2 linked regions of the Mytilus edulis genome follow. The protein of the gene in region 1 binds, or shares a complex with, the protein of each later gene. Links are inferred from orthologs where the notes say so. Each region holds a gene or a part of one and is shown in the gene's direction. Other genes may lie near its edges. The genes, in order: superkiller complex protein 8-like and superkiller complex protein 3-like.

What was found.
Region 2: the proteins of superkiller complex protein 8-like (region 1) and superkiller complex protein 3-like are in contact, whole or in part, in a cryo-EM structure (PDB 7QDS), measured with the Homo sapiens proteins. The link is inferred for Mytilus edulis from reciprocal best matches to the Homo sapiens genes SKIC8 and SKIC3. Residues at the interface, in NP_001290176.1 of Homo sapiens: Asp16, Asp17, Trp20, Leu40, His63, Gln64, Leu65, Gly66, Leu84, Ala86, Gly105, Pro106, Val107, Trp110, His126, Lys149, Phe150, Glu187, Gly188, Ala190, Arg194, Asp201, Gln203, Tyr213, Asp218, Val219, Gln220, His221, Asn223, Leu224; in NP_055454.1 of Homo sapiens: Lys649, Leu688, Gly690, Lys691, Tyr695, Asn960, Pro963, Val967, Asn970, Lys971, Glu974, Gln994, Leu995, Lys997, Glu998, Ser1226, Asn1227, Lys1230, Lys1252, Leu1256, Lys1257, Gln1260, Lys1261, Ala1263, Leu1264, Leu1265, Pro1267, Trp1273, Lys1295, Arg1296.

What each region holds. Positions count from the first base shown.
Region 1 is NC_092354.1:39,861,172-39,873,719, forward strand, and holds the start of superkiller complex protein 8-like, read left to right. Parts: upstream 1-6,658; 5' UTR 6,659-6,758; coding exon 6,759-6,773; intron 6,774-9,412; coding exon 9,413-9,440; intron 9,441-10,376; coding exon 10,377-10,482; intron 10,483-11,412; coding exon 11,413-11,498; intron 11,499-11,992; coding exon 11,993-12,079; intron 12,080-12,548. Other genes in the region: tetratricopeptide repeat protein 23-like, read right to left, coding at 33-114, 715-857, 1,800-2,082, 2,558-2,681, 3,229-3,397, 3,917-4,069, 6,037-6,137. UniProt on the Homo sapiens protein: Component of the PAF1 complex (PAF1C) which has multiple functions during transcription by RNA polymerase II and is implicated in regulation of development and maintenance of embryonic stem cell pluripotency.
Region 2 is NC_092347.1:76,708,191-76,720,683, reverse strand, and holds the start of superkiller complex protein 3-like, read left to right. Parts: upstream 1-7,823; 5' UTR 7,824-8,006; exon of another isoform or gene 8,007-8,214; intron 8,215-11,026; 5' UTR 11,027-11,030; coding exon 11,031-11,120; intron 11,121-12,493. Other genes in the region: galactose-specific lectin nattectin-like, read left to right, coding at 3,786-4,014, 4,557-4,730, 5,051-5,274. UniProt on the Homo sapiens protein: Component of the SKI complex, a multiprotein complex that assists the RNA-degrading exosome during the mRNA decay and quality-control pathways.

The sequences.
Region 1 (12,548 bases):
CAGTCATGAGCAAGGTTAAACTGTAAACTTACTTAGCACCAGCTATAGTATGAGACTGTAGGTACAGGTCTGTGGCTTTGTCATAATTGGCATATTTTCCTTTGCTCAATTCTACTTATACTTGTTAAGGAAAGTTAGCAGTAACAGTATATAACCTTTTCTGGTGTAATTAATTCATTTCCTGTACTATGTATGCACATCTTTTTTCTCCAGTTTTTTTTTTTTTATCAATATCTCAAATTTCAATAGAGTTCATTTGGTTATGTTACACAAATTAATCACAGTTTTCTTATAATACTAAAATGGCTAACAAATAATAGTTTCAAGAGTCATTTGGAGCATTTTACACATATAAGAGATAATCAAGAACAAACACACCACATTTTATATAGCTGACTACGCAGTTTGGGCTTTGCTCATTGTTGAAGGCGGTACAGTGACTTATAGTTGTTAATTTCTGTGTCATTTGGTGTGTTGTGGATACTTGTTTCATTGGCAATCATACCAGATGTTGATATCTTCTTTTTTTTAGACACCTCAATCTAGTTTTTATATATGAATAGGCTCATGCATTTTGTATTTCTCTATTATACTTGATCTTTCCTTCTTTTTTTTATTTTGACTTTTGTTTTTGTTTTGGTTAATTCCTTTGTTCCTCAACTTTAATAGTTTATCTATGTATTAAACCATTTAAAAAAGGGGACTTTTCATAACATAAATAAAAGGATATTTTGCCATATTCCTGATAAATAGGAACAAGGTCCATAGAATCAGGTCCATACTGTCTCTTCATTAAGTCTAATAGTTTATCAAACTGGGCGGCTGATCTGGCATGCTTCTTCTGTTTCCAGTATAATCTGTAGAATACATTACATTATGTAAACAATTACTGTGGATTCATTATTATACTTTGAATACCATTTTATTTGTTTTTGTGTGTATAGGTAAACCGCAAAATTAAATTTTAAATCAATGACAAATTTTCTGTATAAGCTTGTTTGCAAACTTTTGTAAAAATAACACCAAATTAAATATCCATGAAAATGTAAACATTCCTTATTAGGGAATAAATATGAAGATAAATCAAACCACAGTTCTGCAAATTCAGAAATTATTTTGAGGCTTTTAATAATGCAAATAATATGGCTGGGTGACCATTGCAATAATATGAACTCTTAGTGAACATTTCATGAACTCACAATAATTAATCTCCACTCCATTCTTCAAAAATCGAAATGATGAATGCACAATAATTTCTGAATCTACAGTACTACATGCAATGTATATATGTTAGTACATGTACATAATTGAATATAAAAAGTTACAGATAAAAACTTAATGTCATATGAACTTCAAAATTGAAAAAAAGACAGTCAAATATGTTTTATATACAGAACCGGTACTTGAATAGTAAGTTTTAATGAAAAGCAAATTGTGCATGTGAACTTTCTTGTAAAGAAAATCAAGAACATTATCAAAATCTTCATAAATGAACTGCTATTGAAATATTGTCTTCCGCTGCTCTAATTAGTCAATGTTTTAGAGTATGCAGGAATCTTAACTATAAGACCTGTCGTTTGAACTGTCGCCATCACACAGTGCAAGTGTGATGGGAAAACTGTCATTAATTAAAGAATTTAAAGAAACATGCACTGGGAGGTAAATGGTAAGAACTGATTCTTAAAGAAGCAGAAATATTTGCAGTTAAAGTAAGTGTACAGACAGATACTATGGCTGCTAACAGCCAAGAATAAAAAAAAACTCTAGACATTTCTCCTATTTAAATGCAAATTACAAACCTAGCGGTAGCATGACAGTATTTAATCTCCATCTCGTCACATTCATCATCACTGACACACGTCAACCGACTGAAATCATGACAGGTCCTATCTGCCTTCGACAGAGCCTTCTCTGCGTCAGAGTACTGTTTCATTTCTGTGAGTGCTCTCCCTTGAGTATGATGAATCTTAAACAAAATGAAGATGACGTCTGCTTTTTCTTGTTCCGTTGTGTAGGTAGCAACTGTGTTTAACATGATGGTTTTGGCTGATTCTGAGTGGTAGTCTGCTTGTGGTGCTAATCCTAAAATGGAAGAAACATGAAATTGAAATTTATTTCAAGATATGTATAAAAAATCCAAAATTTAAATTTAGTGTTCTTTTATATGCTTTATATTTGGAAATAATTGTGACTTCAAAATTATCGTTTTTTTTTAACTTTTTATAACAAATTCCCGAAAAGCACTGAATCTTTATTATTCCTGTCCAAAAATAAACCATTTAATATTTTTCTATTATTGACATTTCTGGTCTTCCAAGTTATAACTAAGAATCCTGATTTAATTCAATTTCTGAGCTAATATCACAAAACCAGGGGGAAGAATTCACAACAGACACATACATTAAAAAAACAATTGCAATCCCAAAACAGAGGTTGGGTTGTACTACAATCATCATTTAATGTCCTACTGTCAACTCTTTTACACCCCAATAAAATTACAAACAGAAGCATTCATTTCTTAAAAGCATAAAACCTTAAACCTGCAGAATAATCACACCTTTAAGATCTAGATACGCTTCGGCCAGATCAGCATGGCTTTCTGCTAACTTCCAGTGATTAGCACCATAAACAATCCTGGTAAGTGCTATGCATCGCACCAGTTCTCTGATAGCTTCATCATGCTAAAATTGTAAGAATAAAATTATCATTTATTAAAGTCTGTGAGCCCCTATGTTGCCCTTAAATTTAGATGAAAATCATTACTAATTAATCTAAGCATGTGAAAGTTTTGAGTTTCATGATAAGTAAGCTTGCAAAACATAAATTTTAACTTATTGTTATAAATCAGACCAAACTTTTCTTCCAATTTTTTTTCATACTTGAATGCTGGAATATCCATTTAACATGTTCAATATTAATCATGTCAAATATCTCAATAAAAACAAGCTAATTTTGCTAAAGAGATGATATTCTGTAAATTCAAATTTTATTGCTATGATTTTATAAATACTTATAATGGGACAGGGTGAGTTTTGCATTTACAAAATTAAAACTTGCATTCTGAAATTTTTATATGTATCAAAAGGATTTTTCTGAATATCGCAAAATTTAAAATCTTAGTCTAAAATGATAAAATCGCCATAATAAATGCACACAATACATTCTGAATATACAGTAGATATTAATGAAGCATTTTTTTGGCAGAAATTTAATCAAAATAATTAATACTTTTTCATTTTCTCTGAATTTTCCAATCCTTTTAACTGCCTGTTTGAGAAGTTTGTCAGGTGGTGTCATATCTATCCCATGACGACCATTCTTCCCAGGCTTTTTCTTTCTACTTGTTGTCCTCCCTGATCTAGCTGTGGTCATATCATCCTCATAGTCATCTTCATATCTGGAGAATAATTTGTAAAAATTAATCAAAGTGCTTGGTGGCACTGACTGGAAAAGATTGTTTCAATTTATCATATGCTGATGATATGGAAGTACAATTAATTATTGTATTGGTTGTAGTTGATTTAATAGCAATTCTAGACAAAGGAAGATAACTCCAATTCTTAAAAGATGACTTTAACAAATTCAATGACATCATTTATATTTTTAGAACAGATGTTAGATTTCTGCACCTTACAAAAGTTATGTAATTTTCTTGACAATTGAAACATCATCTTGGATATTAAGCATATATATTACATCGATATATTTTTGTAATAGCTAAAGCATGCATCAGGGTGCAGGATACTCTAGCTGCAGTGAAGACCCCTTTGTTGCCTTCGGCTGTTATCTGCTCTTTGGTCGGGTTGTTGTCTCTTTGGCACATTCCCCATTTCCATTCCAAATCTTATTAAATTCATGAATTCTGTAGTGCTGCACATTTTTATCTAAATTACTAATTTTAGATACATGCACTCACCTGTTCTCTTCATCTGAATCTGAATCTCTGTGAAGTGACCTTTGTGAATGTTGCCGTGGTGTTCTACTATGACCTTTGACCTCCACCATCATGGGAGCTCCTACATTCATATCGTCATCAGAATCTTCTGAATGCATGTTGCTAATTAACTTTCTAAAATTTCCAAATTAATATTTAGTTAGAAATTAAAAGGAGAAGGAAGGGTTTGAAATAAGCAGGAACCCTTTAGCCAATATTCCCTAAAAAATGGTGTGGGCTACTAAAATCTGTGCTTTTTTGTAGGAACAAACGGTCAATTTCGGCAAATAGTTACAAAATTTAATGTGATTCATCAGATTATCCTTTTTTAGTATTGAGATATATATTGTCAGAGTTCTCACATAATGAACATTGTCTTAAAAAGAAAGTGTACATTTTATTGTCATGCAACAAAAATTATTATTATACATGTACCTCGATCATTGTCGATCAGTATGTTTATATAAAAAAGAATGAAAAAGATGTGTTATTTCATTCCATAGACTATTTGCTAGTCAATGGTTTCAAAAACTATTACCCTGGTTAATAGTTTTATAATTATATTTCCCTTACTTATTTTTCATTGGACAATAATGATGTCATAAACTATTCTGCATGGGTTTGTACGCTTGGCAATGTCAAACTCTAATATATCGTAAATGGTATAATCTGTTCAGTCAGGGGTACTGACTGCTGCTTGTGTCTGTCGTAATTTCAAATTAACATATTCATGATATTACTAACCAGAAGCAAATTTAAAAGAGAAAGAAAATCTTCGGGACACATTTTTAAAAGATCTAAAATATAATAAATGTATATGGGTTTGTCGACGTCTTTATAAACTGTTGTGTTTGATGTACTTTAGCCTTATTTAGCTACAATTTATGAGCTGCACAGAAATCTTAACTCAAGTATTCCTAGTCTTGATTGTAGTAAATGAAATATTTACAAATGCAACACAGACTTTAAAAATAAATTATAGTTAATTTTGGGCATGTTTATTTGACATTTTAGTTTTCTTTTAGATTATGAACGTTGAATTTTAGAAAGTTTATTTATTTTGTATAATAAAACACCTAAAGACTGGTAATAATAGCAAGTTGGTTGTCCCTTCAATAGCTGATACCAACTATTAGTATTATAAAAATTTTAAACCATCATTTGTCATGAAGGTCATTACGACCCTCATAGTGGAATATAAACCGAAGTGTAATCCAAGATTACTCTGATGTCCAAATGCTATATTTGGCCAGACAAGCTGGGCTTGGGGACGTCAGAACTCGTCCCATATTAAAAAGTGGATATTTGCCCGTCCAAAGTAGAGGCGCTGCTTCATCACTTTTGGTGCCGACTAACCAACTTGGAATTATATAAATCAGGTATCAATTTGTTCCTTCTTCATTTATGAATATTTCTTCTACCTGCCACCCTTTATTTTCTCATACGTGTATTTAGACAGTTTTTACAGTGACCCATCGATTCAGGCATTTTAACTTTCATTTTGAAAGATTGTCATGTGATTAAAGAGAAAAAGTAAGGAACAATGGGTTATGGGAGCTGATTTATGCAATTGACCCTAGGTTGATATGAATACATGTACATAATCTGACACCTCGTTCATTTACAATGCAAGTAAGGTAAATGTCCGAGTTCTTCCAATTGTTATCAATGTTGGCTACTATAAGTGTTTAATACCGATCTCCTATAAAGGGGGTGAAGAAATATACAGAATACCAAAATTAGCATAAATATTTGCATACTTCAGTCTTGAGACAGTGAAGTCTCTCATCACTTGACATCCATTTGAAAATAAAAGTAAAAATGTCTGAATCGATGGGTTGCTGTGAGAACTGTCTAAATATGAGAAAATAAAGGTTGGTAGGAAGATGAAACTTACATAAACGAAGAGATAACTGAAGAATGAACAAATTGATACTTGATTTATAATAATATAATTCCAAGTCCTTTAGCCGGGACCAGAAGCGATGAAGCAGCACATCTATGTTGGATGTGCGAATATCCACTTTTTGATAAAATATGGGACAGGCCCGACTTCCAAGGCCCATCTTGTCTGTTGGACTTCAGAGTAATCTCGGACTAACAGAAGTGTTATGCGGTGCCGATTTGTCTTGATACCAAATTGTCTTTCTCTGGTATTTAGCCCATGAGGTCTTTTGCTGATGCTGAATTGCCTGGCACCCATTTTATTGGTGCCAAGGTATCTTGATTAATTGTACGGGACTCAGGACGACAGGAGTCTGAGCAGATCCCGTATTCATAACAGAGCCGAACTAGAACGTGCTGCGTGTATTTCTAGTGTAGAAGGGGTTAAATAGTAAAATACACAAAGCTAGCTATAGTCAAATCGGACCCTGGTTAAATCGACATCTGGTCAAAGGAAACTATTAATGATAATTGTTCCTGAATAAAGTGCTACTTGTGTATGAATACTAATGATTGTAAACGATAACGTACAATATAATGTATTGGACAGAAAAAAAAGGTTTATGTCTATAGTTTTGTTGATTTGTTTACATCTACGGTCGCCATTTGTAAACAGTCTTGAAACCAAATTAAAAAATTTATAAATATTTTATAGATGTATATATTTTTAAAGAGAAATATATCATATTTTATTTAATAATAATTTTATAGTAATAACTGTTATATAAATGTAATTTAACAGATCAAATCAAGAATTTAACAAAACAATATTTTGTTAGAGACTATAAATTTTTATCTTAGACAGGTGCGCGTTTAATCTAACAGTAAAACCGAATGGGAAACAAAACATTCTATTGACTACACAGCCACCGGCAACGGGATGGCGAATCAGTTGGTAAGGAAAAGAAATTGCTTTTATATTATAGACAATTAAAGATCATTCGTATATTGCTTTTAACTACACACCGGATGAATCAGTTAAGTGACTGTTACTCAGATCCTTACTGTTGACATAGTGTCATTACTCTTTTTCTCTCCTCCAGGCTCCACATCATCCACAGTGTCAGTGGCTTCTTCTTCTTTAGGTTTTCAGTAGTCCTTCAATGATCTGAAGATTATTTACTGTTTGCGCGCGCAGCGTGGCCTATATATATATTTACAAAGACAAAGACAAAAATATATGGAAATAAATTTGAGGTGCGTAATTTAACTTTTTTAAAAAGGTGATTAAAACTATGTACATAGGCTAATAATGAGTTAGATGAATTTGTGGAGAACAGCTGGTGTGGCTGTTAATAAACACGATAAAAAAAGAACAAAGTAATTGATAAATCAGAAAATCACTCTAGAATAATATCATGCTTAAACCCCAATGAGACCCACATACAGGTCATTTCTGGAATCATGTCTTCCACCGGAAAAGATCGTCAATTTTGCATGCCTTTATGACGTCATTTACCAGATACAGACTACACGAAATACGTTGGACCGTCGGACAAATCCGGTAAATAATGGATCGGTCTGGTAAAATTTTGTTGAATTCCGGTCCGAATGTCCGGTGTTTTTTTTTCATGGAACATTCTAGCAAAATTGCCAAACAATCTCAAATTCATTTTCATCTTTATTATTCATCACAGCGATGTTTATTTTGTTCAACCGCTAGCTTTATGCCGAACATCGACAACCAGTAATGTGTAAATCCGGGTAAAAACATATCTGACTGTCAAAAACAACAATGGATGCCATCATTGGCACAACCGGAAATGCAAATAAAACCGGATCAGATTCTGGGAACGGATAAGGATAATTCCGGGTTTGCCGATTTAAATACAATAAATGAATAAAAATCCAAGCAGATCACAAAATTTAGCTATGAAATATAACCACAAGAATTGAAAACCAAAAGATATATGAAAAAGAAAGAAGAAACAAAAAATAATATTTTATACAGAAACTCTAAATTATGTTTAGTTCACAAACATTGTCAAAATCCAATAAAATGGGACATTACTCTTCACTGAAATGCATTCAAGCAATTGTGCACAACTTTCATAACAATATCCCCTCTTGTTACATCATTTTGTTTTAATTTGTGCATTTTGGTGAGGAGTAGGCCGGCACAACAAAGTCATATGTTTGTTGTTTTTTGTCGGATAATATACAATTAGATGTAAAAAAAAATTGGTCTGGTAAAATTTCATTCGGTCTGGTAAAGCTAGGATGCTTACCAGACCGAATGTCCTGTAAAAATAAAATTCATTCGCGTAGTCTGCAGATAGAAGGCGCGCCTGCATCCCTGTCTATAAAAAGTTTCCAGCACTTTCATAATCGTCATTCTGTAGGGTAGTATAGAAATAATTAATGTTCTGTAAGTACATATAAATCGTGATTGCCATAGGATTGAGTGAGGGTGACCATCCTTTTAGATTTTAATTTCCCAAATATTTTGTGCAATATAAAATAAGACTTTTTCACCCGTTTGCTCAACATGTGCTGGAAATTTCTATGCATACATTTTTGTCAGGTGGTGATGAAAGTCACATGACAGATTCGTCTGAAAACTGTATCCCGGGAACTGGCCTATTAAAGTTTTTTTTTTAAAAGCGTTTTCAGCACATTGACAATGTCATTGTGTACATGAGTTCCACAAGTTTTAATACCCTAGTTTACTAGTCCAAATAATTATGACGTCTTGTAATAAAGACTATTTTAATATTTGCTTTGACGCCTACCTGCAAAGTCATAAAGCCAAACTCTTTTTTTTTCATTTGGTCTTTGAACATGTTGAAAGAGATTTTTTTATTTTATTAAACATGTTAAAATGTTTAGATGATTTTTCCCGATATTTATAAAGTGAGAAATGGAATCAAAACAAAATATACCGAAATGCAATGAAATATAACAAAGCAAAGCAGATGGAATAGCATATATTTGTAGCCCGTTAGCATGTTAGAATCAGAAATCATGGTTCGGATTACTTGAAAAAAGTCCACATTTTTGTAATGATAAAAAATAAGAAGGTGTGGTTAGAGTGCCAATGTATTTTAAATTAAAAATTACAGGTCAAACTACTACCTTGAAGTTTGAACATGTTGAACAAAACACTTATGCTCACATATCATGCATATATATATACAATAAACAGAAAGCTATAAAGGTCACCAAAATGACCACTGTCGTTGACTGTAAAACAATGTCAACACAAAACCAGCTGTCTTATCTATATACAGAACAAGGAAAGCAAAACACCTATGAACCACACCAACAAAAGACTTAAGTATTATAAAATATACAGCAGGTTTAATAGGCTCAAGATTAATAACATTACCTTGAATGAATTAGATAAATTTGTGTTGATTTATATTTTACCATGTTTACTGTAACAATTTAAAACGTAGCTCTCTGGTTTTTCACTGGCATTCACACCAACCATCAAAAGTTGGATATTTAAACAAAATTGAGCACATGACATTTGACCTAAAAACATGATAAAATAATATTTCCTGTTAACCTAATTATTTTTAATCTTTGTAGTATTCCCTGATATTCAAACAGGAACAAGGTGAGTTTAATCATTGTTAATTCACAAATCAGATATAACTTTCTATCACTAATGAATTTCATTAAGTACAATGTTTCAAAAGACTTCTATAAAATCTGAGTACATATATATTTATAAACATGATAAAAGAGCGTCGAAAGATACCAAAGAGACAGTCAAACTCATAAATCAAAAATAAACTGACAACGCCATGGCTAATAAAGAAAAAAGGCAAACAGATAAGTAGTTAGTACACACTACACAAGACACAAAATAGAAAACTGAAGATTAAGCAACACAAATATATAAATCAGAACTAAAAAACAGAAAAAAATTAAGGTCTGTATGCATATTTTTAAGATATACATGTAAGCCATGAAAAGTTGGTGGAAAATGATTATCTCTAGTATTATCATTCATTTAATTTTAAAACACCTTTTCTCTTTCAAAAAACTGTATGAAAAGAACACAAGGATTTTATAAGATTTTAAACTAAGTATATACGTCGTGATATATGCTATAAAGTAAAGAAACGAGAAGTAGGTTTTAGCAGACAAAGTTTGTAATGGAACAAAATGGATAAAACCAAAGGATTCCAATTATCTGACAAAAATCATGGTAAATGTTAACAATTGAATTTAAGATGGTACCTAACACTACAGGGAGATAACTCAGTAAAAATGAGTTCAACATTTTATTGTTAACCTGGTTAAGGAAATATTAAGCTTCTCAGTGATGAAAAATAGTGTTTGTCAAACTGCTACATAAACTGATTTTTTTCTGATAAAGTGGTTAGTTCAAATTTTTTAAAATTTTTATATTTTTGTCAAGGGGTCAAAGTTAACATTTTGTCAACACTTTATGAAAATTAAATGAACCAAATTAATAACAGTCAAAGTGTTGGGTACCACCGTAACCACCTTCAATGATGCTTATAATAATTTTGTTATTTTATAGCACATGAAGACAGTATTTGGAGTTGTGCTTGGAAGAAAAATGAAACAGATGGATCTGAGAACATTATAACAGGGGGAATAGATGATCTCGTCAAAATATGGAGATGGTAAAATTATTATTTAAGATTAACTTTATCTGTAATATCATATTTTTATTTACACTTTTATATATATTTTTAATTGTAAAAAAAATAATACAAGGAATTTGAAACTTATATATTTGAAAATATGTATATTCTAAAATAATATTGAGGAATGTGTCTGCGAGACAACAACCCGACAAAGGAACAAAAAATAGCCTATGGCCACTAATCTGTCTTCAATACAGTGAGAAAATTCCATACATGGAGGTGGGCCTTAGGTGGCCCCTAAACATGCTTAACACAAATTTTCAGTGAAAAGTTCAAGTCACACTAAACTCATAAACATATTAAAGAACTAAAATTAAAGTTGGATCAATTGGTTATTTAAGATTCAGGTGTTGTACAATATGCATTTAAATGATCAGTGAAATGTTTGCAGATGACATACTTCTAGAAAATGTGGCCACTGATATATTGAGTTGCACATGAGATTTCTTAAGGTTGTTGGTTACTTTGTTTCAAAATAAAAAGCTTGTAATTAATTGTTAGTTTTGAAATAAAGGAACCTAAAAAGCAGGAACAAATAAAGGTTCAGTTTGGTTGTTTTCTGAGTATAAGCTTTTGAAAATTTGGTGGGAAGTGATTCTCTCTAGATTTTTCATACACTTAACATTGGCGTCTTTTTCTTTGAAAAATGATGAAAAAATGGTAAGGATTTTATAAGATTTTCAAAAAAGACATTTTAAAATGTAATCAAATTACGAAAAGAAAAGTAGGGGATAGTGGGTAAATCATTTTGATAGTACTAAATGGATAAAACCAGAGGGTTCTGAAAATCTGACAACAATTAAAAAACAAGAGAAGCGAACACCCTTAATATATATATGTTACAATTTACATATTTAATTTTTTTTAACCTTTTGGATGATAATTTCATTTTCTCTTATTTTACAGGACAGACGGAAGATTAGATCTACGACATGCCTTAGAAGGACATCAGCTTGGTGTTGTTTCTGTAGACATTAACAAAAACGGAACATGTATCCTTTTTAAAAATAAATAAGAAAATAAAAAAGGGGTATGAAATAAATAAGGAACCAATCAAAAAGTAAAATAAAATAGACAACAGTACAACATTAACAAATTTAAAATAAAAAAAGACAAAGAATGTCAGCTTGGTGTTTTTCCTGTAGACATTAACAAAAACATCCAAACTCATAAGTGGAACTTAATTTACAATGCCATGACTGAAAAAGAAAAAGATCAACAGACAAACAATAGTACACAAAACACAACATAGAAAACTAAACACTGAGTAATACAAACCCCACCAATAACATGAGGTGATTTAGTGCTCCTTAAGGGTAAGTAGATCCTGCTATGTAAGTGATTGACATTCTGAAATGTCAACAAGCAAGTTACTACAAGATCATTTACCGTGTTTGGCTGTGTATAGTACACAGTTATGTATAGTATGCACCCCCCTTTTAGTAGTTCAAGTTCAAAAGAAAACTATTCCTTAACCCATTGATAGTGGCTGCTTCCAGTAGTTTAGACAGCCATGTAAGAGTATGGGATATCATCACAGGCAAATGTATTAAAAGTATTGATGCAGGTCCAGGTAAGGTTTTATATGTGTTTTTTTTTTTTGAGTAACACAAAAATTCTACCTGGAGATAACAAAAAAATGAAATGGAAAGAACAATGCCTTTATTACTGTTCTCCAACTATAGATCAGTCACTGTTAGCTTGGAGCATAACTATCACTGCACTTTTAGTTTCAGACGACCTTTGCACCTTTTCTTAAAGATTACTACTGAGAATGTTTTTTGACAGAATCATTTTGTGTACTGTAACTGCACATGTGTAAAAAATACAAATCTACCAATAAAAGAAATTACCTTATAAAATGTCAAAGAAATAATTAAAAGCAGTGATAATATTCTGTACCAAAAAAAGTCTAGAATGCAAGAAATATAACTCCTGATCAAATGAAAATGTATCTTTAAAGAAAATAACACTTTAAGTCCAATACAAGGGTAAATGTTTTTAATGCAACCTTTGACCTTCTCTGGCAGTGGATGCCTGAA
Region 2 (12,493 bases), on another chromosome or scaffold:
TATTTATCATTCCATTATAGCATAGGGGTTTAAACATCTATGCTTATAGTATAGCATCTACTACAGATACAGGCAGTATTATCATATACAACATGTACAAAGGGGTACACTTGAAATAAAATGAAAAGTTGTCTTAAATTAATTATTACTGTCTTGAACTAACTATATCTATCTATTATTAATGGGGAAATTACACTCACTCTGAATCTGCTATGTTATACTGTAGATTCGTTTATTGTCGTTGGTATCAATTTTCGTGGATTGCTGAAAACTTGCATATTCGTGGATATTTGATTTCATGGTTTTGACAATCTCTGTGTACAAAACCTATTAAAAATATGTATTTCGTTGTAAATTTGATTTCGTGGTTCACCTGAACTCAAGAAACCCATGAAAATTGGAATCCACAGTATCTTAAATTCAAATTTAAACTAATGAAAATCACATTTTTGGATTTTGAAAGATGGGGGATGAATTTTCAAATTTTAGTAACTTGGTTTTATTTTATTTTGCTATCAATATGTTTCCTTTTGAAGGATTCAAATATATTATTCAGTGTAATTATTATAAAATAAAAAACTATGTATAGTATACATATTTATATACATTTTGTAACTTGTGAATTTGATGTTTATATTTTTTTTTTTGTCTATAAAAAATGTCTGCTCTTCAAGATTGCAAGCTAATGGAGATTTACTTATTTCATTATTTCAGAAATAAATATTTTAAGTTTTGACTAAAAAACTTTTCTAAATCCACTTATGGAGAGATTCAAAGGTCTAGCTACAGCATTATTTTCATATATATATATATATTGTTCATTATAGATAACAAAAATTACATATCTTAATGTTTTTAGTTGCTCATCTTTTTTCATCATTTTCCATAAAAATTTTGTGAAGCACGCCAATTTAAATGCTTGTATTTTTGTTATTTCATGTTAAGTATGTTTCTAAGATGTTGAATTTATAAAGCATAGAATTTATATGCTATTATTTATCACAAATAAAAATATATAGTGCTATTACCATTGCTTCATTTATACAGTTATCCATAATACTAAATGAGAAGACCTTTTTTTGTGCGTGTTTCTCTGTCTTCCAGATCATATCTATATAGATGATTCTGTATCCTACCGTAAAACTAGTTTGTAATCCTTCCTAATGATTATTCATTTTTGTCGAGCCTGCAACTTTTGATGCAGAAAGCTCGACATAGGGATAGTGATCCGGTGGCGGCGACAGCGGCTACGGCGGCGGCATTAGCTCACTTCTTAAAAGCTTTATATTTTAGAATGTGGAAGACCTGGATGCTTCATACTTTGTATATAGATGCTTCATGTTACGAAGTTTCCATCAGTCACATGTCCAATGTCCTTGACCTCATTTTCATGGTTCAGTGACCACTTGAAAAAAAAGCTCAAATTTTTTGTAATGTTGAATTCTCTCTTATTATAAGTAATAGGATAACTATATTTGATATGTGCGTACCTTGCAAGGTCCTCGTGTCTGTCAGACAGTTTTCACTTGACCTCGACCTCATTTCATGGATCAGTGAACAAGGTTAAATTTTGGTGGTCAAGTCCATATCTCAGATACTATAAGCAATAGGGCTAGTATATTCGGTGTATGGGAGGACTGTAAGGTGTACATGTCCAACTGGCAGGTGTCATCTGACCTTGACCTCATTTTCATGGTTCAGTGGTTATAGTTAAATTTTTGTGTTTTTTTGGTCTGTTTTTCTCATACTATATGCAATAGGTCTACTATATTTGTTGTATGAAATGATTGTTAAGTGTACATGTCTAGCGGGCAGATGTCATGTGACCTTGACCTCATTTTCATGGTTCAGTGGTCAAAGTTAAGTTTTTGAGTTTTGGTCTTTTTATCTAATGCTATATGCCATAGGTCAACTATATTCGGTGTATGGAAATATTTTATGATCTTTATGTCAGTCGAGCAGGTTTTATTTAACTGTGACCTCATTTTCATGGTTCATTGCACAGTGTTAAGTTTTTGTGTTTTGGTCTATTTTTCTTAAACTATAAGTAATGTGTCAACTATATATGTTGTATAGAAGCATTGTTAGCTGTACCTGTCTGCCTGGCATGGTTCATCGGACCTGGACCTCTTTTTCAAGGTTCATTGGTCTTTGTTTAGTTATCTTGGTTAATGTTAAGTTTATGTGACAGTTGTAATAAAGCTTAGCTTAGGACTATCAACATAATATCAATGATTAGTATAGAAGGCGAGACATTTCAGCGTGTGCACTCTTGTTAATAGTTAGTGAATAATTTGGCAAATGCTGGGCAAAATGGCCATAGCCATCATTTAGGTATCTAGTTTATATCTTTTGTCAAATGGTTCTGTCTGCCAACTAACATTGTGAACATGGCTAGAAATATAAACAATAGTATGAGCTATGCTTATTGTTGAAGGCCGTACAGTGACCTATAGTTGTTAATTTCTGTGTCATTTGGTCTCTTGTGGAGAGTTATCTCATTGGCAATCATACATCTTCTTTTTTATATATGGGTAAATGGAAGTTTGTTAATTATTTTTAACAGCTATAGATGGAGAAAGTCTGACAGGGCAGAAATGTTTAAAATGTACTGTCCATTTCTATCAAAAATGTTTTCTGAAATAACAGTAATTAAGATAGAAAATGTAAAAAGCAAAAATGAACAGCAGGACACAATCAACAATAGGTCAAAAAGGCCAAATTTTCAAAAAAGAGATTTAAGTCATGAGTATATATTATGTTGTAGGGTGCCTAAGGGTGGCCATACCTGAAAATCCATTAAGATCCAGGTGTGCAGTGTGTAAAAAGAACTGATGCGCTTGCATTTGTTGAAGAAAAATATTATTTAAACACAAATGTTAAAACAAAATTCTACAAATGTAGTAGCTCTTCAAAGAACAAACATGGTAATACTTGACAAGAAATATCACATTTCCAAAACAAAATTGATATGTATTTTATTGGAGGCTCACATTATTAATTATTCAAAATTATGTAGATGTGGTATGTTGTAGAAGTTAAGGGCTATAGGTCAACATTGAGGAAACACTGTATTACATAGCAAACTATGGGCACTGAAATGACAAATGTAAAACAATTGAATTCTGAATCTACTAGAAAATAAATATAGAATGTTTTAAATGGATGTAACATCTGTATAGTATTTCTTCCTAGAAATGCATGAAATTCTTGTCACTTGGTGTTAAGCAGGCATAGTTTCAGCATCAAACCGTGAGAATTAACGGCTCACATAAAACTTTTGTTTTAGTAACAATTTACGGTATCTAAATAAAAAGAAACAACCCTAAATGCAAAATCAATCACATTTTAAGTGCATGTAATAATAAAAGGTTTATCTATGCAACGATGTGTATTGGTTGTAATTAAAATGAGGACTAAAAGTTAAAAGATGATGAGAGTGCAGTATATGAATTAAAATTCGCTTTGTATTGGAAAATAATGATTAGGTACCACAAAAACCAATAATTCAGAGTGTTATAATTAATTGATGGAATAACATCGTTATGTTGAGCGATTAAAACAAAATTTGCAGTCTTCCCTTCATTTAACATTCGTGAATACTTCAATTCCTCTACATGAAAGGCAGATAAATGACAATCGGTTGATCATGCCGTTTTACAGTATAACTGCACAGTAACAATACTTAGACAGCAATGATGACTATCACTACGATTCTAGTATGGACAATTCTGTATACCCGGGCAATTTATTGTTCCCAGTTAGGAATAAGTTCGATTTTTGCTATGGAGAATTTAAACCAAACAAATAAAATCGTGGATAAAAATTCTATCGGAACATTTAAGACGGAAAGTATAAGAAAATGTGCGTTCCATTGCCTCCAGAACTTAGCGTGTATGGCATATTTCTACCGTCAGAATACCACTGAATGTCGACTAATGAGTGTAAATACCCCGGGAAATAATGGGAAGTGGAAAGGTGATATGGGTTGGCGGTACTATAACGTTTATGAAAGTGAGTTTTCTTTTTAAAAATTATAATAATAGCTTTTTTTTTATTTATAAAGACAACAAATTGAAATTTAAATCACCATTCAGGCCCTATATCTTCTGTTTATGAAAGCTGACTTCATTGCAAAATGTTTTAAAGGAGTTTAAAAAGTTGGTAGAGAAAAAAACTTTATGACAAGAGATATGAGTTCAGCTTGCCGATTGTGAACTTTTCCATTTTTATGTAGCAACATTCCAGCAGCACCTGTATATTGAGTATGAATTTCCCTGTTAATACGGTATTCCAAGAGCTAGCATATCCTGCTATGATTTATCCGTTAGAGAATTACTGCTTACACGGAAGTAAAAAATCCCTTCGAAAATTTTACGGATGCCACCTCTACAATGTTCTACCAAAGGGAAATATCAGTTTATTATGATATATAATCTTACTGTATCAGAAGGTTGTTTTGTTTTCATTCTGTAAAACATAACTTGATAATTTACCGAAACCCTGCTAACATCGTACCACCAAATTCGCTTTCTATATATATATATATTCTGCAGGTACTTGTCCACCTATGGATGGTTTCAACCAGAACAGGAAAGCTTCCTTATGTTACCAATACTTTGACGATCTTAAAAATGTGTATGAAGCTGACATTGCATGTCGTCGCAATGGCGGACAACTGATTAGAGTCCAAAGTCAACTACAACAGACTCATTTGATGACATATTTGGGTAAAGAACATTTTACTTCTCGATTTCATGATTATAGATACACTAGCTGGTGCCAAATTTAAGTAAGGGAGAAACGAGCACCGGACCTCTTCTTCTTTGTACAAGTACTTATGATTGGAATGATAATTGACTTTAAAGATAGCATGTGTTAGTTGTATGCATAATCTTTTGAAATATCTAGAGCATCCCCATTTTTTCTTAAGGCCCCGGACGGTTGTTATATGATGATAATTTCTACCTTATACACATATATCAATCTTATTTTCTACAGACTTACAGCTACACAGCAAGCAATTAATTAACACAATTTTCCATTTCAGATTTCTACAACGAAAATTTAGTATACATCCAAGGAAACGATTCTGCAAAGGAAGGCACGTGGGCGTTCGATGATGGACAGCTTATGAAATACTTCAACTGGAGTCCTACCACGCCTTTTGGGCATGATGCTAAAGATCATCTCGCTATGAATAAAGCATCGTCTTATGGATGGGAAGAGACAGCTGGCTCAACATTAGGAGGATTCTTATGCGAGAAAACCTGACTTGATATAAGAAATTAGTGAAAATGAACATGCAAAGCAGGATTCTATCCTGTGAATCAATGCATTTTTCACCAAAATTCATATTTAACTGTTGTACAAGTTATAAGTGAATTTTGGTCAAATTTTGTACAAATTGTAATTTGTACAGGCACTTTTTGTACAAATTATAATTTGTACAAAGGCAAAATACAAATTATAATTTGTACAATATTTTTGTACAAATTACAATTTGTACAAAATGATAACTTGTACACAACATATACATGCATTGGTTCAAGGATTGGATAAACATTATTTTTCACGGGTCACTCTTTTCTTATGACTTTAAAATTGATATTCTTCAGTCTCTAAAAACATGTCTTTAAAACTTTTTTAAAAAGTAAAATATTGAAATTGATACTAGTACTTTTTTCATTAATAGGAGGTAAAACAATTTCTTTAAAAAATGTATATACATGTAATACACATCAGCAATTGAAAGCATATGAACCCATATAAAACCAGTGCCTTGCTTTTTGGTGATTTTTTTTTTAAAGTCTGGCAAGTCTGGCACCAGAAATGTGCTACCACTTGATTCTTTAATGTCTGCATCACTTTTGCAACATTTGCAGATATATACGTTTCTGTTTGATTCAAATTTCATGGAATAAATGCTATCAATAGCTAGATTTCTATGCATCGTGTGTACACTTTTTTTTATTTACCTTATAATATTTTTTTGTGCCATAGACTTCAGATTTATATTAAAGTTTTGTCTGGCTTTCATGATTTTTTAAGGTCTTCGTTTTACGTTTCAAAGTACTCCAAACCCGGCTGTAGCTCTTCAGGTATATCAGTGGAAAATCAAGTTTGTTTGATAACAAATTTGTTGTTTTCCATTTTCGAACGTTCAATTTTCAACAAAAATTTATGTATGTATAAAAAAGAAGATGCGGTATGATTACCAATGAGACAACTCTCCACAAGAGACCAAATGACACAGAAATTAACAACTATTATAGGTCACCGTACTGCCTTCAACAATGAGCAAAGCCCAAACTACATAGTCAGCTTTAAAAGGTTCCGAAATGACATATGTAAAACAATGCAAACGAGAAAACTTACGGCCTAATTTATGAAGAAGAAAAAAATGAACGAAAACAAAAAATATGTAACAAATGACAACCACTGAATTACAGGCTCCTGACTTGGGACAGGCACATACATACAGAATGTGGCGGAGTATTACATGTTAACCTGGGACAGTGGTAACAGTACAACATAAGAACGAACTATAGAAATCTGTTGAAAAAGACTTAACTTATCAGATGGATACAAATAACATACATCTAACAAAAACACAGTACATGTAAATTAAATGAGCGCAATCCACTAAAATTGAATGACTACGAAGAAGGCGAAGAATAAAAGGTTATTGACATCTAGCCACATATATCATTTGTGCTAGATAGTTTTCTTTAAAAAAAAAATTCATATAGTCATGATTAAAAATCTGAAATAAGACTGGCAAAATAGCAAAACTCTATATAAATGCAAGGAGGCTAGTATTATGCCGGAGCCACCCAAATAGCACCCAAGAGGCTATTTTGCCGGAGCCGGCAAAATAGCCACTGCCTTCATTTTTATCAATAGAAAAATTGAAAGTTCCAATATAACACTTAATTTTGGTTGAAGGACTATAAAAGTGTACTAGCTGACTGTCACACCTTTCAATCAGACTTACATAAATTGGAACAATGGGAGCAAGAATGGCTTTTGTCCTTTAACCCAGACAAATGTGAAATCATCCACATAACAAGAAAACATAAACCAATCATCTATAAATACACATTACATGATGATATTTTAAAATCAACAAACAAAGCAAAATGTATTGGCGTTTCCATCACTAACGATCTGACATGGAATTCTCATATAAATAACATCACACATAAAGCAAAAGCCTCGCAAAAGCATCACTGAGATTTATTAAAAGAAACGTCAAAACTACCGTGACAACATAAAAACAAAAGAACTGGCTTACAAAACATATGTCAGACCAAAAAAAGCATACTGTAGTTGTTTTGGACCCCTGGCAGAAACAACAAATACATAAAATTGAAATGGTTCAGAGAAGAGCTGCCAGGTATACACTTAATTAAAATTCAACATCAATTAGTTTCCATCGGCCAGTCAATAAATACCTAATACCATCAAAAGAACATAAATTCATACACCCATTCTCTCCCACAAATTATCATTTATATTCATTTTTTTCCTAGAACAGTAAGGTTGTGGAATTCTTTACCATGATGCCAAGTAGCCTGTAGCCCAGACTTTGAAGCCGATTTAAGTCTGGTGCAAAACCACATATGTATTGCTAAATCAAATCATGTTTTTATCTATTTACTAAAAAAAAATGTTTTTGAAATAATTGTAAATATGTTAAGATTTTAATTTGTTTCTCTATTATGTGCCTTCTTGTAATCTTCAACATATTGAAGTTAAGAAGTATTAAAAGTAGATGTAGATGTAGAAGTGGAGGTGTGTCTATATTGGGAGAAGAAAAAGATATACAGATACAGACCATCCATCATCGTTACTCTCCCCTATCTTCAATCCTCTTTTCTTTCATTTTTTTCTTTTTTCACTGTTTCATCTCTTCGGAGTTACAGTAGTCTTACTAAAACAACGAGCCTTGGTTATACAAAAGTAATGAAAGATACAGCAGTTCTGGAAGTTCTATAAACTGTGTAAGCTATAAATTTAAGATCTTTCATTTTTTTCCCTGTTTGATGACGTTTTTACGGTTCTACAAATTGAAACTGAAAGTGAAAATAAATCACTCTGTCCGAGTGGTCTCGAGAAGTGTGCAAGTTTATACACCTATCTTCAAAACAGGAATGCATATAACCAACGTACACAAGAAGATGTACTTATTTTGATTACCAGCTGAGTGAGGTAGGGACCAATCACTCAAATGGGATATTATTACAGGGTGCAAGTTTTTACCCCAATATAGAGTTGGGGTGGGGGTAACATGAATGACCGAATAACACTGTTAATATCCGAATTACACTTGTAATGACTAAATAGCACTAGAAATTTTAATATTAGCACCGATATATGATATTGGTGACTTTTAAACATTGATTATTAAATAATAGTATATTATCGATGTATTTTATAATGTAATAATGATTTACAGAAAGCAGATGAGTTCATAAAGAACTTGTTGAATTTAGTGTGTACATTCAACATGGTGACCGCGGAAATCACAATGGCTGCCATGTTGGAAGAACACACTAAATTCAAAATGATCTTTATGAACTTATTTGCTTTCTGTAAATCATTTTAAGTTATTAAATACATCAATATGTATCCCAATATGGGGTAACACGAATGACCGAATAACACTGTTATTATCCGAATAACACTTGTAATGACCGAATAACACTTGAAATTTTGATATAAGCACATATTGGTGACTATTAAACATTGATTATTAAATAATAATGAATTATCGATGTATTTTATAACTTAAAAATGATTTACAGAAAGCAGATAAGTTCATACAGATCATTTTAAATTTAGTGTGTACATGTATATCCAACATGGCAGCCATTGTGATTTCCGTGATTATCATGCTGGATGATTCAGAAAATTGGCCAAAAATCATTGTTCCTTCTTCTGTCCTTTGTGGTTAGTGCTGAAAATCTGCTGGTCCTCACTTTTAATTCTATTGAAAAATACTAAAATTGTGTTGGTCCTATTCAAAATTTTGGTGGTAAAATCCTGAGGACCACCACTTTTGGAGAACTGAGGCTGCCGGCGAATATGTGCACCCCACTCTACACACACGTACCCCAAAAAACAGTTTCCTCGTATTTTTATTGAATATTCATGTTATTTTAAAAGCATTTAAATGTTATTTTTTAAAAGACATCAAACTTAAAATGTAATTTAACAAATATATTTAATTTTGAATAACTTTGAAATTTATTTTTAGCTCCTTCATATTTAAGATTTGTTCAATAAAATTTGCGTTTTCTGAAATAAAAATTGAAAAATTAAATTTTTCGCCAACTTTGAAATATTTTACTGAAATTTTGAATTATTTGTCTGGAATAAATTTAGAAAATTTTCTCCTACATTTGTCCTAAATCATGTAAATGAAATAAGATTTTTTAATTTTTTACAAAAGTTTGACCTAAACGATACCATTATAAGACATTGTAATTTCACCAACTGTAAGTGGCAAGCTACTTGTACATGTATATCAGTTTATATTTTTCTGTCTTCTTTTTTTTGGCTTCATCTTGGGAAATGGATAGTTTCCATTCCAGACAGAAAAGACGCAAACAAAAAATAATTAAAATATTTATCTATATACCGATAATAAAAATAGACAAAATCTTTTAATTTCATATGGAATGGACAGAGGGAACAATTTTTGCTGATGGGTTTATTCAAAAGATTTCCTGTTTTGTTAAAATTAGGTAAAGCTTGCCTCAGGATTTTTAGGACCGCAAAAATTTTTGTGGTGTTACATTTGTATATTGGTATCACGTCGTCTTCGTCATTGCCTGAAGACACTTGGTTTCCAGACAATAACTTCAGTTTAAGTGAATGGATCTCTTTAATTTAAACACAAATTTTGAAACCACAAAAGAAAGTTTGGAATTGATTTTGGAGGTTATATGGTGCCAACAGTTTAGGAAAATTAGGACCCAAAAGGGTCAAAATAAGCACTTTTCTAGTTTCCAGACAAAAAATTGTGTATTAGTTTATGGATCTTCTGAAATTGTACCACAAGGTTCCATATGACAAAGGGAAGGCTGGGATTGAGTTTAAGGGTAATTGTTTCCAGACAATTACTTGAGGTCAAGTGAATGGATCTCTCTGAAATTCTACAGCAAGGTATCATACCTCAAAGGGAAAGCTAGGATTGAGTTTGTGGGTAATAACTGGAAAGGGGGGAGGGGTTTAAGTAAAAATGGGGGTTCAACCTTTGGGGGTGGGTGGGTAGGGGGAGGTAAAAAATTTTCATATTTTTATTTTTTTCTTAAAATTTTCCATTTTTCCATTGATTTATAATTCTTATTTGTATATTGAAGTAAAAAATACTGATATGGCAGAAGATCATCATCATCATCATACACCAAATATGATGTGTAAATTATTAAGTAAAGTATTGTGCAATAGCATTGTATATTAAAGTAAAAAATACTGATATGGCAGAAGTTACACACCAAATATGATGTGTAAATTATTAAGGACAGTATTGTGCAATAGCAGGAAATCTCCAATTGCATAGTATTGCACTATAGCACAGTATTGTGCATTAGCCAGAAATCTTCAATTGCACAGTATTGCACTATAGCACAGTTTTGTGCATTAGCAAGAAATCTTCTATTGCACAGTATTGCGCAATAACAAGAAATTTTCAAAACACACTATTGACAATATTGTGCAATAGCACATCTTCAATTACACAGTATTGTGCAATAGCAGGAAAATCTTCAATTGAAAATTAAAACAAAAATTTCAACCCATTTCAATTTTTAAGATCTTTCACCACATTTATTTTGTGTCATAAACCTATATTATATCAAAAATTTAATCACAATCCAAATTCAGACAGTATCAAGCTTGAATATTGTGTCCAAACATGCACCAACTGTTCAGGGTTTGACCAGGACGACTGCAGATGTATAAGGCTGCGCTCAGCGAAGCATTTTATTATATCAGTGCAATGGATTTTTTCTCTCAGATAAATGGATACTAAAGAAATAAAGACTGCATTGAAAAATGCTAGAGAGTGTATCAGAGAAAAGCAATTTAAAGAAGCCCTCAAACATTGCAAGGTAGGAATTATAACTTTATCCTCATATCATGCATATTGAAAGTATATATCATGTTTGTTTACATATTAGAGCTAGGTTTATTTTTTGGGGGAAAGACGGCTTCAAGCCGTCAATCCCCTATGGGGTTGACCAGAGTGACATTCCCTCACATCATTCATTTTGTTTTTATAGTGTGGAAACCCCCCCAACAAATCTTACTGAGATTGGTGAGAAGGAAACACACAAATGAATAGATTGACTTTAAACACTTTTTTTACACATTTCCCTTCTGTTTCTCGCGAAATTATCGTATCTAGAGCTCTCCTTTACACTATTTACGTTTCTTTTACAATCCGGAAAAATCATACTGACGAGATATTCTAAATATATCCAACCTACATTATATTTTATAGTGACATCATTGTTGGGATGCCACACTACGCAGAAGCAGGGATATCCTTCACTGGTTATTTGAATCATTCTCAAAGATCGTGCACTAATTAAAAAATGGTATTTGTTAAATTTAAACATAATTATGTTTGCTGTAGATGATTCAAACATCAACGTGCAATACTTTAATTTGTAGGTCAACAACTTTCAAAGTAAGCAAAGTCCGTGGGGATACATGAGATTGGGGAGAGAAACATTTTTTTCCTTTTTTTTCTGTAAAACTCTGTTTTGAGCATCTTCCTCCAATTCAGGAGCACCTCAATTGATGAGTAATTATCCACTAAAATAAACACTTCAAAATGTGACATTTAGCATATGATTAGTAGTCTTTCATTAAAACTAAATTTTGTGTACCAACATAATCATTGTTATGGTAACAGAAAAAAAATAATTACAAATTTTGTAGTTTAAACCTATTTACATGTATTCATGAGATTTACAAATATTTCAAAATGTAGGATTTGGAAACAAGCTTCACACTGTTTACATCAATCATATTGTTTTTTATTAGTACCTGTATCCCTGTGATGAGAGTTGTAACTGGGAACTTTATCAATTGAAATTTAAAACTGAATAGATTTTTCAGTCCTAACTTTCTTAAGAAAAAATTAAAAAAGTTTACTGTCACAAAAAATGGAAAATGGCCCTTGCCTGCAGTTCAGTTGTACACTATTAAGATTTCAAAAAATATTGTAGTTGTTGTTAAATGACAGAATTCAGTGAAATTTTAGATAATTAGCTATCAACTATAATCGAATGTTTAGATTTAGAAGATGCAGATCTCTTCCATTGGTCCAAATTGAATCCTAAACTAAGGAAACAAAATTACATTAAACAACAATTGATTTCAATATTGTATCAAAAATAAATAGAAACAAGGGCTGTCTTTCCCCTCAGAGCTATTCAGCTCTTTGATTGTAAAATAGATACAAAGGATATTCTAA